Linked DNA regions of Saccharomyces cerevisiae S288C. The gene in region 1 interacts genetically with each later gene. Each region holds a gene or a part of one and is shown in the gene's direction. Other genes may lie near its edges. The genes, in order: TRM732, FRS2 and SUL2.

Region 1 (6,756 bases):
AAGTCGAGAGGTTACCTGGTTCATACTACAAAATCGCTGATTCTATGATCAGATTCCATACAGAAAACGCTGATGATCAAGATCGAGTCCCAACTGTTATTGGGGAAGCCATTACGCACATAAACACCTTATTTGATGACAGGGATATTCACGCTTATGTGCATAAGGATATTGTCTTCGTTCAACAAACGGGGCTAGCCTTAGCCGCCGCTGAGTTTTTGATGAAATTTTACAACAGTGGCGTCAGTCCTACTGACAATAGCAGAATATCTCTATCAAGAACATCCTCTTCGATGTCCGTCGGTAATAATAAGAAGCATTTCCAAAACCAGGTAGATTTCGTTTGCGTTTCCGGTTCGACATCACCTATTATTGAACCATTATTTAAATTAGTGAAGCAAGAGGTTGAAAAGAACAATCTAAAATTTGGTTACACCATTCTTTACGGTAGCTCAAGATCCACTTATGCCAAGGAACATATCAATGGTGTCAATGAACTTTTTACCATCCTTCATGACTTGACAGCCGCCTAAGCGATCATTTTCCCTCCTGTACTTTCAAAATGTTCTCTTTCTTATTCTTCAGTTATAGTTTTTACGAGCGATTATAAATATAAAAGTACGATCTTCCTTTTACGTATATATGTATATACAGCACGATAAATTACAAACAAGTTTCAACTAACAATGTGGGTTATTTCTCATATTGTTAATGAGATCTTATAATAATCATTATACACGAACGCTATTTTTCACTTTTTTTTCATTTTTGTTTTCGCCGCAAGAAGTAATAGTGAAAAATTGAAAAAAGCTTCAATTTTAGTTTGCTGAAAGAAACCTTTACTTATGTAGAAGGTGTACTTGCAAAAGCACTAGTGTAATATAGAGCAAAGTTCATCATGGGTAAGAAAAACACTAAAGGTGGTAAAAAAGGTAGAAGAGGTAAGAACGACTCTGACGGTCCAAAGCGTGAACTTATTTATAAGGAAGAAGGCCAAGAATATGCTCAAATCACCAAGATGTTGGGTAATGGAAGAGTCGAAGCCAGTTGCTTTGATGGTAATAAGAGAATGGCCCATATTAGAGGTAAGTTAAGAAAGAAAGTCTGGATGGGACAAGGTGATATTATTCTTGTTTCCTTAAGAGATTTCCAAGATGACCAATGTGATGTTGTCCACAAATATAATTTAGATGAAGCCAGAACACTGAAAAACCAAGGTGAACTTCCTGAAAACGCCAAAATTAATGAAACAGACAACTTTGGTTTCGAATCTGATGAAGACGTTAACTTTGAATTTGGTAACGCTGATGAAGATGATGAGGAAGGTGAAGATGAAGAACTTGATATTGATGACATTTAATTTAGGCCGAACAAGTGTCCTCAATATCTTCTAATGCGTCAACTATTCATAATTTATTTATAATTATATTTTTTAGTCCATCATAGGAAAGGGTTTTCTTTTTACTATATCGAAATACTTATATATAGATATCAAAAAAAGAATAAAAATGAAATACCTCAAGAAGTCGTTTAATCTTCCTTCTAGGGTTTCTTTCAAGCGGACGTTAAGGAGACGTAATAAAAATTTTCTCGCACGAGAAATTTGAGCAAAGAGCACGTTGCGAATACGTTTTATCCATTCATCGTTTTTAATTTATTACCTTTTCTTTCGATGCTGTTTATTGTCACTCATGAGTGCTTCCGTTTTTTCCATCGAAAATTTACTTTTTTAGACTGAAAAGAAAATGAAAAGTTAAAATAAATTTTTACCAGAAAATGCTCATCGCAGGAAAATGACAATACTATTGTGAGCTTCCCGAGGTACACATTACTTCATACTGAAAGTTTCAAAAAATGACTACGGATGTGCAATTTTCAAGTCAGGAAATCGAGCTTTTCCGTGTCAAAGAATTCTTGATTGCTAATAATCCAGCAAAGATCAACAATGAAAATAAGGATGCTGTTTTAACTCAGATTGAGCATGATTTCAGGTATTTAATACAGTATATCAAGGACGGATTACCGAACTTAAATGAGTCCACAAGGTTAATTTTTCCAGATACCTTTTCGATCTGTTTACTAAGGAGCCATCAAATAATTGCAAGCAAAAAAATTGACTCTCAAGAATTTTTATCGGCGGTAAAAGAGCAACTCTTAACTGAAGCGAATGCAAATATTATCTTTGAATATGTTCTTGACTTTTGGGCTGATGGTGGAGCCCCACTGATGAATGCCTTGAGAGATTTATTCAGTAAACTACTGAACTTATTGAAAATCACATATCCTATGTCAACCTTGAAGGATGTTTTATTTAATTGGATGAATGAAATATTAGAAGTACCATCTACGTTGCGTGTTCAGTATTACTTGATTGATGCCCTTTCTTCTGATTTTGACCTTTATTATATTATAGAAAAAAAGCCTCATTTCATCGATAACTCTTTTTCATTAATGAACTCTGATTTGCTAGCAAATTCGGTAGGTAAATGCATTGTTAGTTTGCTGTTAAACATTTACGAAAAGCATTTCAAAAAGAACGAGTCTTTTGTACAAGAATGGATACAATTATGGAAAAGTTGTGCTTTAAAGTACATTCACGACAAACAATACACCAAATCCATTAATCTGTATATTATGATTCCATTATTCAAAAATATGCCAAACTCGGCCTTCACACTTTTCCTAGAATGTATGTCTAACAAAGACCCATCACTTTTGCTCTCACTTTTAAAGATTGGCCAAGAATTGGGGATTGAAGAAGAACCATTTTGTGATAATAAATATACCACTGTAGATTCTGTTAACAAACTCATAGAGCAAGATGAGTATAAACTTCAGGTATTTGAAATACTGACCTTTTCGACAAAAAAGTCAAAGCCTATTCGTCCCTTCGTCTTCAAAACTATAAAACAGTACCTATATGTGTTCTTCGTGGACACTGAACTTGAACGCAGAAATTACTTTTGCAGTTCGATGAAACACTTTATATTTAGAACCAGAGACTGCGCATACTCTTTAGCTAGGGATGCCAGAAAGCTTAAAAAGGCTGAGAAATTTCCGGACGAACAGAGGGAAAAGTTGGCGCAAGTTGAGGAGGCTAGAGCCTTTTTGGTTTGGCTATGCAATTTTATAAAATATAATTTGGCCCCTGGTACTTTATATCAGGCGAACGTGACCTCATTAAAACTTATGCACATTCTGATCAAGTCTGGTGTTGATAAATCTACTCCACAAAAATTTTTAGACAACCAAAATAAGAGGGAATATCCTTTTTCTATCCCAATTTTACAGGATGTCACATTTTTAAGGTTGCTCATTGACCTTTTGGTTAGTAATTATGCTGACGTGCGCGAATTATCTAAAGAAATGCTATTTATAATGATAAGCGCTGATGAATCTAGAGGTCTTTTTTTGGATACCTTAGACGCAAATGCTTTGAAGTGGACTGCAACCTCTCTTTTAAGTGACTATGAGAAAGGTGATGCTGGAGCTACCGTATATGAGTTCATATTCACAGTCATGGGCTCTCAAAGAAGCTTCATTGACCAGACAATTGATATATTAGCGCAGATGGTACAAAATTTGCAAAATGACAGCATTGGTTGTGCAGAAAATTCAATCGGTCCTCACTTTGCTGCACTAAGCTTGATTTTGAATAAGTTTAACTCTGAAGAAAACCATCAAGATACTTCAAAAATAATCTCAAAATTAATAAATCTTGTACTCAAGAGCTGGGAAGCAACGAGAAATGTAGTGTGTCATGATTCTGCCCATGGAATACTACCTGAAAAATATGCTAATTGTGGTGTACCGGACCAAGTTATAATAAGTCACGCATTTAGGGCGATAAAAGAAGCATCATATTTACTTGAAACAATATTAAAAAAATACCCTTTAACAAGAGATCAATTAGACAGTATCGGCGATCTTTTTATTGTTCAGCTTTCTACTATTCGTCATAGTGGCGCCTTCCAAGCCGTTTTACCGGGGCTAAAGGCATTTTGTATTCGTTGTCAACTTGAATTTCCCGCTATTCTGGAAGAACTTTTAAGCAAGAGTGTAAAATCTTTAAAATCCAAAACTCAACATATTACAAGAAGGTCAGGAGGCTTGCCTTTCTTGGTCACAACCGTCTTAAGTGCAGAAGTTACCAAAGGGAGACCTTTGTTACAAAAAACTTTTGAAAACTTACTACTCGTTGCAAGGTTACCAATTCCTCCCCATCAAGATGAGTTTGATTTACCACAGGTTAATGCTATTAATTGTATAAACGCAATCTTTGTTGAACCGAAGCTCTCTGTACACTGTACGTCATTTGTCTCAGAGGCATTAGAACTAGCTTTATTGAATTTCGACTGTGATATATGGGCTCTAAGAAACTGTTCTATCATGCTGTTTACCTCCTTGCAAAATAGAATTTTTGGAAAAGTGGGCAGAAGCGTTAGTGCAAAATTATTCTTTACCAAATATTCTGGCTTGAGGCAACTGCTTTTGAATATTCTAAACAGTTCTATTGCTCAATATTCGGGAAGTGAAAGAAAATCATATCAAATTGAAAGCATTTTCTTGGTCCTTAATGTGCTACTGAGGTTACGGCCTACAGCTGGCTATACTGGTCTAAAAGAATTCAACGTTTCTGTTTATGAATGTTTATCAAATGAGAACTGGAAGATCAGAGATATGGCCTCTAGAGTATTGCATATGCTGTCGGAAAATTTTGAAGAAGAGATAAGAAAATTACTTGACTTGGCTTCTATCGCGAAGCAAAACCAGTTACATGGACACTTACTAGCACTCCAACAACTAGTACCACAATACCTTTCAGGAACTAGAGATATGGAGTTGATTCAAAGGATACTTGAAAAGAAAAGGATGCTTCTACTAGAGAACAAGTGCTTTATCACTAAAAAGGCCTACTTAAAATTGACCTGCTGTATATTGGAAACATGCGACATACCTGATTCTATTTTAAAAGATTATATCAGCACTTTGCGGAACACATTTATTGCTGAAAATAACGAATATGTTGTGGATGGTAGCAAACAGCTATATCTTGCACAAATCTTAGACATGCTCTTAAAATATGAGGATAGTATATATCTCGATGATATTTGCTTATTAGGATTGTATTCTCCATTTTATGAGGCTCAGCTCAGTACACTACAGTACATGAATACTAACTTTCACTGGGAAACTACAAGAAACTCAGAATTTCTTGAACAACTACAATTATTACTCAGGGTTCCAGATTTGCTGCCTATGGCTAAAGCTTTAGTAGTGAAAATTCTCTCAAGAAAAAAGAATACTTTATCCCTGACGACCTGCACTGATCTCCTAAAAACAAATAATAGTGAAGATACAAAACTTGCTGCCGTTTCATCACTAAGTGCTAAATTGTCTTCGCAAACCTTTCACCAGGTATGGAACTTGTTACAAGGATTTTTCGCCGATTCTTGTTCAAAAGATTTTAGATTGGCATCTTTAGAATGTTTAACTGCTTATCCAGAAAGTTGTAAGAACTCCAGAATACTATTACAACTGTACAACTTCTTATGGGACGATGATTCTGAAATAAGAGAAAAGGCTTCTTTTTATTTGAATAAGAACTTTATTCAAACTGCAGACTGGGAATATAACAGGAACACCAGTGTGACCGCTCTTATATTCACAAAAAAGTTTGTTGACGTATTCACAAGTTCTGAGGTGGTAGAAGAGTTGTGTTTACAGTTGTTTCAATATCTAAATGAATATGATATGTTTGCTGCCGAAGAATCGGCGAAGAATTGTCTATTTACTATAGAAAAGGATAACCAGTTCATCAACGAACTACAAAAGGCAATGCATATATTAAATATGATAAAATTGACTGGAAGGGATATCTCAAAGTGTTACAAAGACCAGATACATCACCTAAAAAGTGCTCTATTGGAGCACTTCAACACCGAGGATTTTAAAGATTCCCCACTCGGCTGGTGCTCTAATGCTGAAATATTTTCAAGAATAACGCTTTTAAAGGAACTGATTCAACATTATTCTCCTTCTGATTATGAGAATTTTATCAATGTTCTGACTAAACATTCTGTTCATCCCCTAATTATCAGTTATTCCCAATTATAAATAATGAATATGTACAGATATATACTTTGCATATAATCTGATTCATCTCTAACCTACTTGTGGATTTAGTGACGAGATTCATTGTGGAACCTATTACAAAGCATGTCGATTTCTATTCTAAATACAATGATGGAACTTGATTTAATTTCTTTACCGTTGTCATTTTCTTTTGAATTTTTTCCACCTCTTTTTTTGTTGAAAAATGTTCATGGATGGAAAATTAAAGGTGTGCCCTATTACAAAAGCAAGTTGTACCCCTTTACTAACTCTCTAGTCAATTTGAACTATTGTGAAAACGACAGTTGTGCTCACATGATATAACAAAAGTAATACTGACAAATGGCATTCCAAGATCAAGATATATTCATAGTGTTCTCGCATGCCTCCTTATTTCTTAATCAAAATGATTTATTAAGCCTAAGTCTAACATCCAAAAAAATGCATGACATGATTGCAATCCCTCGTCTTTATAGCAATATTCACATAACTAAGAATCCTGTTTTAAGAACAAACAAATGGTTTTTGGACGGGGGAAAAACTTATGTAAGTGGTTATAGATCTGTTCTGAAAACCGGTGACAAGAATGACATATTTTTATATGATAGAATTGAAAGGTTGTTGGAGACATCGCATTTAAAA
Region 2 (3,949 bases), on another chromosome or scaffold:
AAGCAGGTTTCTTCTTCCTCACGGAGGAATTTCTTCGCGAGCCAGGCTTCACTATAGATGGGGAGGGGTTTCTTCTCAGTAAAGGACTATTGGTGTTTGTACTTGCACTTGTGTTTGTGTTTGTGTTTGCGTTTGTATTATTGGCGATGCTGGGACTGTTATTATTATGACTACTATTATGACTATGATTATTATTAATGCTATTATTATTTAAAAATGGTAAGTTATTGGTGAAAATAAAGTGGTCATCGAAGGAGGACGAGCAGGAAGTGTCCAGAAAATTAGGGAAACCAGAAGCATTATGTGAAGCACGCTGGGAAGCGCTGTCCATGTCGTTGAGCAGGTCTGAGTGCACAATGGAGTGCGTCTCCACGTCATCATCATCGTCATCGTCGTCAAACACATTTTCAAAAACAGAAGATCCGTTGAGGTTCATGTCTGAAAGGAAGAATTGCTGGTTATCAGTATCGGTGTCATCGAGGTCGTTGTTGCCTGGGCCAGCGGCGTTCACGCCGCTGGCAAAGGGCGAGGCGGAGAAGTCCATAATAGAGTTAGAATGTTGCATTATGCGGTTAATTCGATGGAAAGACGTGCGGTTATGCAAACGCCAAGAAAGGTTCAAAATACGGTTAGAATCGGGCAATATTTTCTGGGCGCTCGAGTACAGGTCCCAGATTTCTTTGTTTAAATTCAAGTCCGGGTCGAGGTTCGGGACTCTGTTCGTGCTCATAGTTATGTTCACTACCGTGCACCGTGTACAATGTATATATATATCTATATATATATATGCACATGCGATGAACAGAACAGGGGAAGGGCGGAAAAGCAAAGGAAAGAAAACGTGCATGCTAATACCGGGGCCGGGAGTGGCACACACCTATATATATGTGGCTGGGCCGGGCACCGCAAGTGTGCGACTCATAGTGCTGTTATTATTGTTGCTCTGTATTGTGGTGGCTGTTAATACCAGCGGTAGCTGCACCGGCACTAACACTATGCTGCGCTGCTTCACATCGTTCTGCTATGTGTCGGCCTGTGGTCGGACGCAATGATTTGTTATCTTATCTTATCTTATCTTCTCCCTTATCAGCCCGTTGTTCCTGCTTTGTTGACGTTGGGCACTGGGTGCAAGCACACCTGTTATCGGCCGGACCAATCAGTCATGCACCCACACACCGGACTGCGTATAGAAGATCCGGGTTGCTGGTTGAAGTTGGATTACCGCGAAATGAGAGCTAGCAGACGGGAAAAGGAGGTATTACGTTGTGCAGAGACAGGGTTGTGTGAGGACACCGTAATACTGATGGATGCATCTATAATGAAATAGGGTAGGTTTTTCAAAAAAAAAAAAATATTTTTGCACCACGTAGAACTCAGAAGTATTGGGCAAGCTAGGTTTTGATTATGGCGCCAAGTACGTCTTCGCCGGCTAAAATCGGAAAGCGGGACCGGTCGCATTTGGCCATAAGTTAGGTGACCCGGCTTTGGTATCGTTTTATCAGGGGTTTACCCGGTCGACCATATTGAATCAAACAAAGAAAAGAGGCAGGAAAAACAGAAAAAAAAAATTTTTCTGTTTTTCTCTACCTCTTTTCTTTTCAGTAAACTTTGTTCCTCTCTACGTGAAAAATGCTTGAAAAATTAATAAAACGCATTGCTGTAATCTTGAACGTACGCAGTACTTGTGGTTAATGCACATGTAAAGTTGTGAATACATTTCCATATATATACATATATATATATATCTTACGTATATATACATTAAAGGCACCCCCCTCCCTCTCTCACCCCCTAACGTAAAGATGTCTGACTTCCAATTAGAAATTCTAAAAAAACTAGATGAATTGGATGAGATCAAGTCCACACTGGCAACTTTCCCTCAGCACGGCTCTCAAGATGTTCTTTCCGCTTTGAACTCTTTGAAAGCCCACAACAAGTTAGAGTTTTCCAAGGTCGACACGGTTACGTATGACTTGACCAAAGAAGGTGCTCAAATTTTGAATGAAGGTTCGTACGAAATTAAACTAGTCAAGCTCATCCAAGAGTTGGGTCAACTTCAAATCAAAGATGTGATGTCCAAACTGGGTCCTCAAGTTGGTAAGGTCGGTCAGGCTAGAGCTTTCAAGAACGGCTGGATCGCCAAAAACGCCTCAAACGAGCTTGAACTCTCCGCAAAATTGCAAAATACCGATTTAAATGAGCTTACTGATGAAACGCAATCTATTCTAGCGCAAATCAAGAACAACTCGCATCTGGATAGCATTGACGCCAAGATTTTGAACGACTTGAAGAAAAGAAAGTTAATTGCTCAAGGTAAAATCACAGATTTCAACGTTACCAAAGGGCCAGAGTTCTCGACCGACCTCACCAAATTGGAAACCGATCTTACCTCCGACATGGTCTCCACCAATGCATACAAGGACTTGAAGTTCAAGCCTTACAATTTCAATTCTCAAGGTGTGCAAATATCTTCAGGTGCTCTTCACCCCTTAAACAAAGTCAGAGAGGAATTTAGACAAATTTTCTTTTCCATGGGATTCACAGAGATGCCCTCGAACCAATACGTCGAGACAGGTTTCTGGAACTTCGATGCCCTTTACGTCCCACAACAGCATCCTGCTCGTGACCTGCAAGACACTTTCTACATCAAGGACCCACTAACCGCTGACTTGCCCGATGACAAGACATACATGGACAATATCAAAGCCGTTCACGAACAGGGGAGATTCGGGTCCATCGGTTATCGTTACAACTGGAAGCCAGAAGAATGTCAAAAATTGGTCTTGAGAACTCACTCCACAGCCATCTCTGCCAGAATGCTGCACGATTTGGCCAAAGATCCAAAGCCCACCAGATTGTTTTCTATCGACCGTGTTTTCCGTAACGAAGCAGTTGACGCCACCCATTTGGCCGAATTCCACCAGGTGGAAGGTGTTCTTGCCGACTACAACATTACTCTGGGTGACCTGATCAAGTTCATGGAAGAGTTTTTCGAAAGAATGGGTGTCACCGGTTTGAGATTCAAGCCTACCTACAATCCTTACACCGAGCCATCAATGGAAATCTTTTCTTGGCACGAAGGTTTGCAAAAATGGGTCGAAATCGGTAACTCTGGTATGTTCAGACCAGAAATGCTCGAGTCCATGGGTCTACCAAAGGATCTAAGAGTCCTTGGTTGGGGGTTATCCTTGGAAAGACCTACCATGATCAAATATAAGGTTCAAAACATCAGAGAACTGTTAGGTCATAAAGTCTCTTTGGACTTTATCGAAACCAATCCTGCTGCTAGATTGGACGAAGACTTGTACGAATAAGCTCAGCAGTTCCTCTAGTTTTATATCGTCTGTCCCCAATTTTGTAGTAGTTATTGTACACAAAACAAATATATACGTATATGTTAATATAGATTCTGATTTACTTTCTGTCTCCATATGGGTTATGGTTTACTGTCCATATGGAGCCGTTGAGAGCGGAAACGACTTGTCTTGACCGGGTTCCCGAACTTATCAATAGGCTCCAATTCGCCTTCAGTGTGTGCGGCGGGTGATGATGATTGCCATTTCGACGCGGTAGCTTCTTTCAACCGTCTGTACTCTATAGCAACCTCTTCCTGTAGCCGGCCCGGATGTAGTGCTACTTCGTCCTCGTCATTTGTGTAACTTTCAGGAAATTCATGCTCAATGATATCATTCATAACATTGCCATCATTTTCCTCCTCCTCCATCGTCACTGGCTTGTTTTCTAGTTGAAAGTCTCGAATTTCGTCACGCAGCAACTCCACCTGCTTATTGTATTCTTTGAAATCCTCGAGCTTTTCCACTATGGTTCCTGGATCTTCCTCTAAATCGTCGTCATATAACCCCAATGAATATGCCTTGACCATATCATCCAAGTTTCCACCTAGGGCGTGATAATCGACATTTGTAATTCTAACCGGCTCACTCCCTAC
Region 3 (5,143 bases), on another chromosome or scaffold:
TAACATTGAGCGTTAAACCTGGCAGAGTAGTAAGACCTGGTGACACCATCAAAATCGCCAATGAAGGTTGGCCCATTTTAGATAACCCTCATGGCCGGTGCGGCGATCTGTATGTTTTCGTTCATATTGAATTTCCACCAGATAACTGGTTCAATGAAAAATCAGAACTACTAGCAATAAAAACGAATCTGCCGTCATCTTCATCTTGTGCCTCACATGCGACTGTAAATACTGAAGATGACAGCAACCTGACTAACAACGAAACTATATCAAATTTCCGGATCATTCACACGGACGATCTTCCAGAAGGGATAAGGCCGTTCAAGCCAGAAGCACAGGATTCAGCGCATCAGAAAGCAAGAAGTTCGTACTGCTGTATCCAATGATGGCATCAATAACTTTTTATTCTATTTTTTTTTTTTTTTCATAAGTTATCCTACCTGTATATATGTATATATATGAAATTCATTTACTGAATGCGGTGAAGAATGAAGTCTTTCGCACCTTCAGTAGAAAAATAGGAAGAATCCCCATCGCGGCGGACATAAAGCAAGCATACAAAGGCCTTCTATCAGAACAGCGATTGCGAACTTGGAGCAACAATGGCGTCCCAGGTTAACGCCTTATTACTGCCGGTCATAGAGTCTACGCCGCTTCATCAAATAACCAAGGTAGCATTGACGACCACACTCACAAGTAAACAAAGCGATTACAAGTTCAAAGAAATAGCCGTGCCGTTAACAAAATCACTACAACTGTACGAGAAGGCGCAAAGAAGACAAGATTTAAGGGCAAGCTTAAAAGCACTGGAGAGTATCATTTACCAAACGCACTTCCAATGGAATAACCCGCTCCCACGACATGCGCATCTCTTCCAAAAACACTACCACTTTCTACTGACTCACTGGCCATTTGAGAACCACAGAGACTTGGTAGATTCCATCGCTGTAAACAATGGGAAACTAAATTCAACGTCTTCAAGGAGCGTCTGGCTGAAGGCGGATTGGATAACACTGTTTAACGTTAAAAACCCTTGGGTCCAAACGCCGCCATCGTTAATGCGTCTGAGTGGGACAGATCTTGATACCTTCACACCAGAGAGGATATTCCTGATAAATTCTCTTGGAAACCACTACAAATTTTTAATAGCGAACAGTCATCTAAGCTACAATCACAAAAAATACCCCTCCCCTGGCGTGCAAATTCCTGTCAGGAACGCTCTTGGCGAAGTTTCTCCGGCCAAACAAATTGCCCAACTTTTCGCAAGACAGCTGTCTCATATTTACAAGAGCCTCTTCATAGAAAACCCCCCGCTCTCTCCTGAGAACGAGCTGGCATTGACTGCCGTCTTCTATGACGAGACTGTAGAGCGACGCCTTAGAAGGCTCTATATGCGAGCTTGTGCAAGGGCATATACGACTACTAATGCCGACTCCACCACGGAGCCTTTGATGTTTCATTGCACCCGGTGGGAAGTTGATTAGTTGTTGTTGGCTGTTATACTGGAGTAAATGTCACGTGCCACTGTGGCCGTGTCAGGTCACGTGAAGAGAGAAATTCGGCCACAGTTGTGGTCCTAAACAAGGACTGAAAAAGATCGCAGAAACTAGCAACGTCGGATAGCGGTATGGTTGAACCAAAGTCCAGTTTTTAGTCATAGCCGGTTGAGGGATGATCTGCCGTTCAGTGTTCTGCGTTCAATAATACGCATATATATATATATCAAGGTATCAACACAATACTTGAACAGGTTAGGCTCGTACTAAAGCCTGGAAGTTTTTATCTTTCTGTAACATTTTTCTTTCTTGAGGTGTGTGTGTGTATAGATTAGCAGGGAATTATCTAAGATATGTCCAGGGAAGGTTATCCAAACTTTGAAGAGGTAGAAATTCCTGACTTTCAGGAAACTAACAACACCGTTCCAGATCTTGATGATTTAGAATTAGAGTATGACCAATATAAAAATAATGAAAATAATGACACGTTTAATGATAAGGACTTAGAGAGCAATTCTGTAGCAAAGCACAACGCAGTGAACAGCTCAAAGGGCGTAAAAGGCTCGAAGATTGACTACTTTAATCCTTCAGATGTCTCGTTGTATGACAATTCCGTTTCCCAATTTGAAGAAACAACGGTATCGCTAAAAGAGTACTATGACCACAGTATACGATCTCATCTCACGGTGAAAGGAGCATGTAGTTATCTTAAGAGTGTTTTTCCCATCATCAACTGGCTACCACATTACAATTTTAGCTGGTTTACTGCGGATCTTATTGCAGGAATTACCATTGGCTGTGTTCTCGTGCCGCAATCCATGTCATATGCACAAGTCGCCACGCTACCAGCGCAGTATGGGTTGTACTCCTCGTTTATTGGTGCTTACTCCTACTCTTTTTTCGCTACATCAAAAGATGTTTGTATTGGGCCCGTGGCTGTCATGTCTTTGCAGACCGCCAAAGTCATTGCGGATGTCACGGCAAAATATCCTGATGGAGATTCTGCCATAACTGGTCCCGTTATTGCAACGACTCTAGCGTTACTATGTGGTATCATTTCGGCAGCAGTTGGCTTCTTGCGTCTAGGGTTTCTTGTCGAACTGATTTCCTTAAATGCAGTCGCTGGATTTATGACTGGATCCGCGTTTAATATCTTATGGGGTCAAGTTCCAGCACTAATGGGTTACAATAGTTTGGTTAACACGAGAGCTGCCACCTATAAAGTGGTCATAGAGACCTTGAAACATTTACCAGATACCAAACTGGACGCAGTTTTTGGGCTAATCCCGCTTTTCCTTCTTTATGTTTGGAAATGGTGGTGCGGAACATATGGACCAAGGTTGAACGATAGATACAACTCCAAAAACCCAAGGTTACACAAAATTATCAAATGGACATATTTTTACGCTCAGGCTTCCAGAAATGGTATCATTATTATTGTATTCACTTGTATTGGTTGGGCAATCACAAGAGGCAAATCTAAATCGGAGAGGCCCATCAGCATCCTAGGCTCAGTTCCATCCGGTTTGAAAGAAGTCGGGGTTTTCCATGTTCCACCAGGATTAATGTCTAAGCTTGGTCCAAATTTGCCTGCATCCATTATTGTGTTATTGTTGGAGCATATCGCTATTTCGAAGTCTTTTGGTAGAATCAACGACTATAAAGTCGTCCCCGACCAAGAATTGATTGCTATTGGTGTCTCGAACCTTTTAGGTACTTTCTTCAATGCTTACCCAGCGACTGGTTCCTTTTCAAGGTCTGCTTTGAAGGCTAAATGTAATGTCCGTACGCCGTTATCTGGTTTGTTTTCGGGTTCATGTGTTCTTTTAGCATTATATTGTTTGACCGGCGCATTCTTTTACATTCCAAAGGCTACCTTATCTGCAGTTATCATTCACGCTGTATCTGATCTTTTGGCCTCTTATCAAACTACCTGGAATTTCTGGAAGATGAATCCATTGGACTTCATCTGTTTCATTGTCACCGTCCTAATAACGGTATTTGCCTCTATTGAAGATGGTATTTATTTTGCCATGTGCTGGTCATGTGCAATGCTCATTTTAAAAGTGGCTTTCCCAGCGGGAAAATTCTTGGGTCGTGTGGAAGTCGCTGAAGTTACTGATGCTTACGTCAGACCGGACTCCGATGTGGTTAGCTACGTGTCTGAAAATAACAATGGTATTTCCACTTTAGAAGATGGTGGTGAGGATGACAAGGAAAGTTCCACCAAATACGTCACAAATTCCTCCAAGAAAATAGAAACAAACGTTCAAACAAAGGGCTTTGATTCTCCATCTTCTTCGATTAGCCAGCCAAGGATAAAATACCATACTAAATGGATACCGTTTGATCATAAATACACAAGAGAATTGAACCCGGACGTTCAGATTCTCCCCCCACCAGACGGTGTTCTTGTTTATAGGCTATCAGAGAGCTACACCTATCTCAACTGTTCCAGACACTACAACATCATAACCGAAGAAGTTAAAAAAGTTACCAGACGTGGTCAATTAATTCGCCACAGAAAAAAATCTGACCGTCCATGGAATGATCCTGGTCCATGGGAAGCACCTGCTTTCTTAAAGAATTTGAAATTCTGGAAGAAAAGGGAGAACGACCCTGAATCCATGGAAAACGCGCCCAGCACCTCAGTCGATGTTGAAAGAGATGACAGGCCATTGCTGAAAATACTATGCTTAGACTTCTCACAAGTGGCACAGACAGACGCTACGGCTCTTCAATCATTGGTTGATTTGAGAAAGGCCATAAATCAATATGCAGATAGGCAAGTTGAATTCCACTTTGTGGGTATCATTTCACCATGGGTGAAGAGAGGTTTAATTAGCAGAGGATTTGGTACTCTGAACGAAGAATACAGTGATGAATCCATTGTTGCCGGTCATACAAGTTATCACGTCGCCAGAGTACCTCAAGGCGAAGAAAATCCTGAAAAATATAGCGTTTATACCGCTTCAGGAACAAATCTACCTTTCTTCCATATCGATATCCCAGATTTTGCTAAATGGGATATCTAGCCAATGCATTTACAATGGACATGCAAACATTTATATCATCTCTTTTTTTCTATATTCCTAAACCAAAAAGTTTTCCCCCTTAAAAGTATACATTTAATATCATAATGAGATAGACACTGTTTATATAATAAGAAATAATAGGTAGGATGGTGCCATCGTGAGCATATACATACCTATAAATATTTACCTTATTTTTATTTTATTTTTCTCTTCCTCTCAGGAACAAAAGAAATACAACCGTTATTAATGTTATTGTCGTGGGACAGCTCCCCTTTTTTTTTATTTACTTACCACAGATAGAAAAACATGAAAGCAGCACTTACAAATAGTATAATAGTGAAAGTTAATAACGTAATATTTTTGACCTTCTGCCACCACATTATTTCTTTTATATTGACCGCTTTGCGCCTAAATTTATTACTGCTGCTATTTAGTTGGGAAGTTTTATCCACCAATAAAGAAACTCTTTCTTGTCTCTCCAAGAACTTGTCGATGTTATCGTTCATTATCTGGATGACGTCCTTTATTTGGTCTTCGGTGGCATCCCCGATGTCACTTATAGTGTTCTGACCATTCCCATTACTAGATTGGCCATTTCCAGAACTATTTAAA

What was found.
Region 2: mutations in TRM732 (region 1) and FRS2 together harm fitness more than expected from each alone (negative genetic interaction), as found in Saccharomyces cerevisiae (one large-scale study listed by BioGRID).
Region 3: mutations in TRM732 (region 1) and SUL2 together harm fitness more than expected from each alone (negative genetic interaction), as found in Saccharomyces cerevisiae (one large-scale study listed by BioGRID).

Annotation. Positions count from the first base shown.
Region 1 is NC_001145.3:783,982-790,737, reverse strand, and holds TRM732 (tRNA methylation protein TRM732), read left to right. Parts: upstream 1-1,854; coding exon 1,855-6,117; downstream 6,118-6,756. Other genes in the region: TPS3 (trehalose 6-phosphate synthase/phosphatase complex subunit), read left to right, coding at 1-533; TIF11 (translation initiation complex factor eIF1A), read left to right, coding at 899-1,360; ROY1 (Roy1p), read left to right, coding at 6,457-6,756. UniProt on the Saccharomyces cerevisiae protein: Together with methyltransferase TRM7, methylates the 2'-O-ribose of nucleotides at position 32 of the anticodon loop of substrate tRNAs.
Region 2 is NC_001138.5:92,864-96,812, reverse strand, and holds FRS2 (phenylalanine--tRNA ligase subunit alpha), read left to right. Parts: upstream 1-1,802; coding exon 1,803-3,314; downstream 3,315-3,949. Other genes in the region: GAT1 (Gat1p), read right to left, coding at 1-847; BUD27 (prefoldin-like protein), read right to left, coding at 3,437-3,949.
Region 3 is NC_001144.5:321,695-326,837, forward strand, and holds SUL2 (sulfate permease), read left to right. Parts: upstream 1-1,849; coding exon 1,850-4,531; downstream 4,532-5,143. Other genes in the region: XDJ1 (Xdj1p), read left to right, coding at 1-386; GEP5 (Gep5p), read left to right, coding at 603-1,484; NYV1 (Nyv1p), read right to left, coding at 4,819-5,143. UniProt on the Saccharomyces cerevisiae protein: High affinity uptake of sulfate into the cell.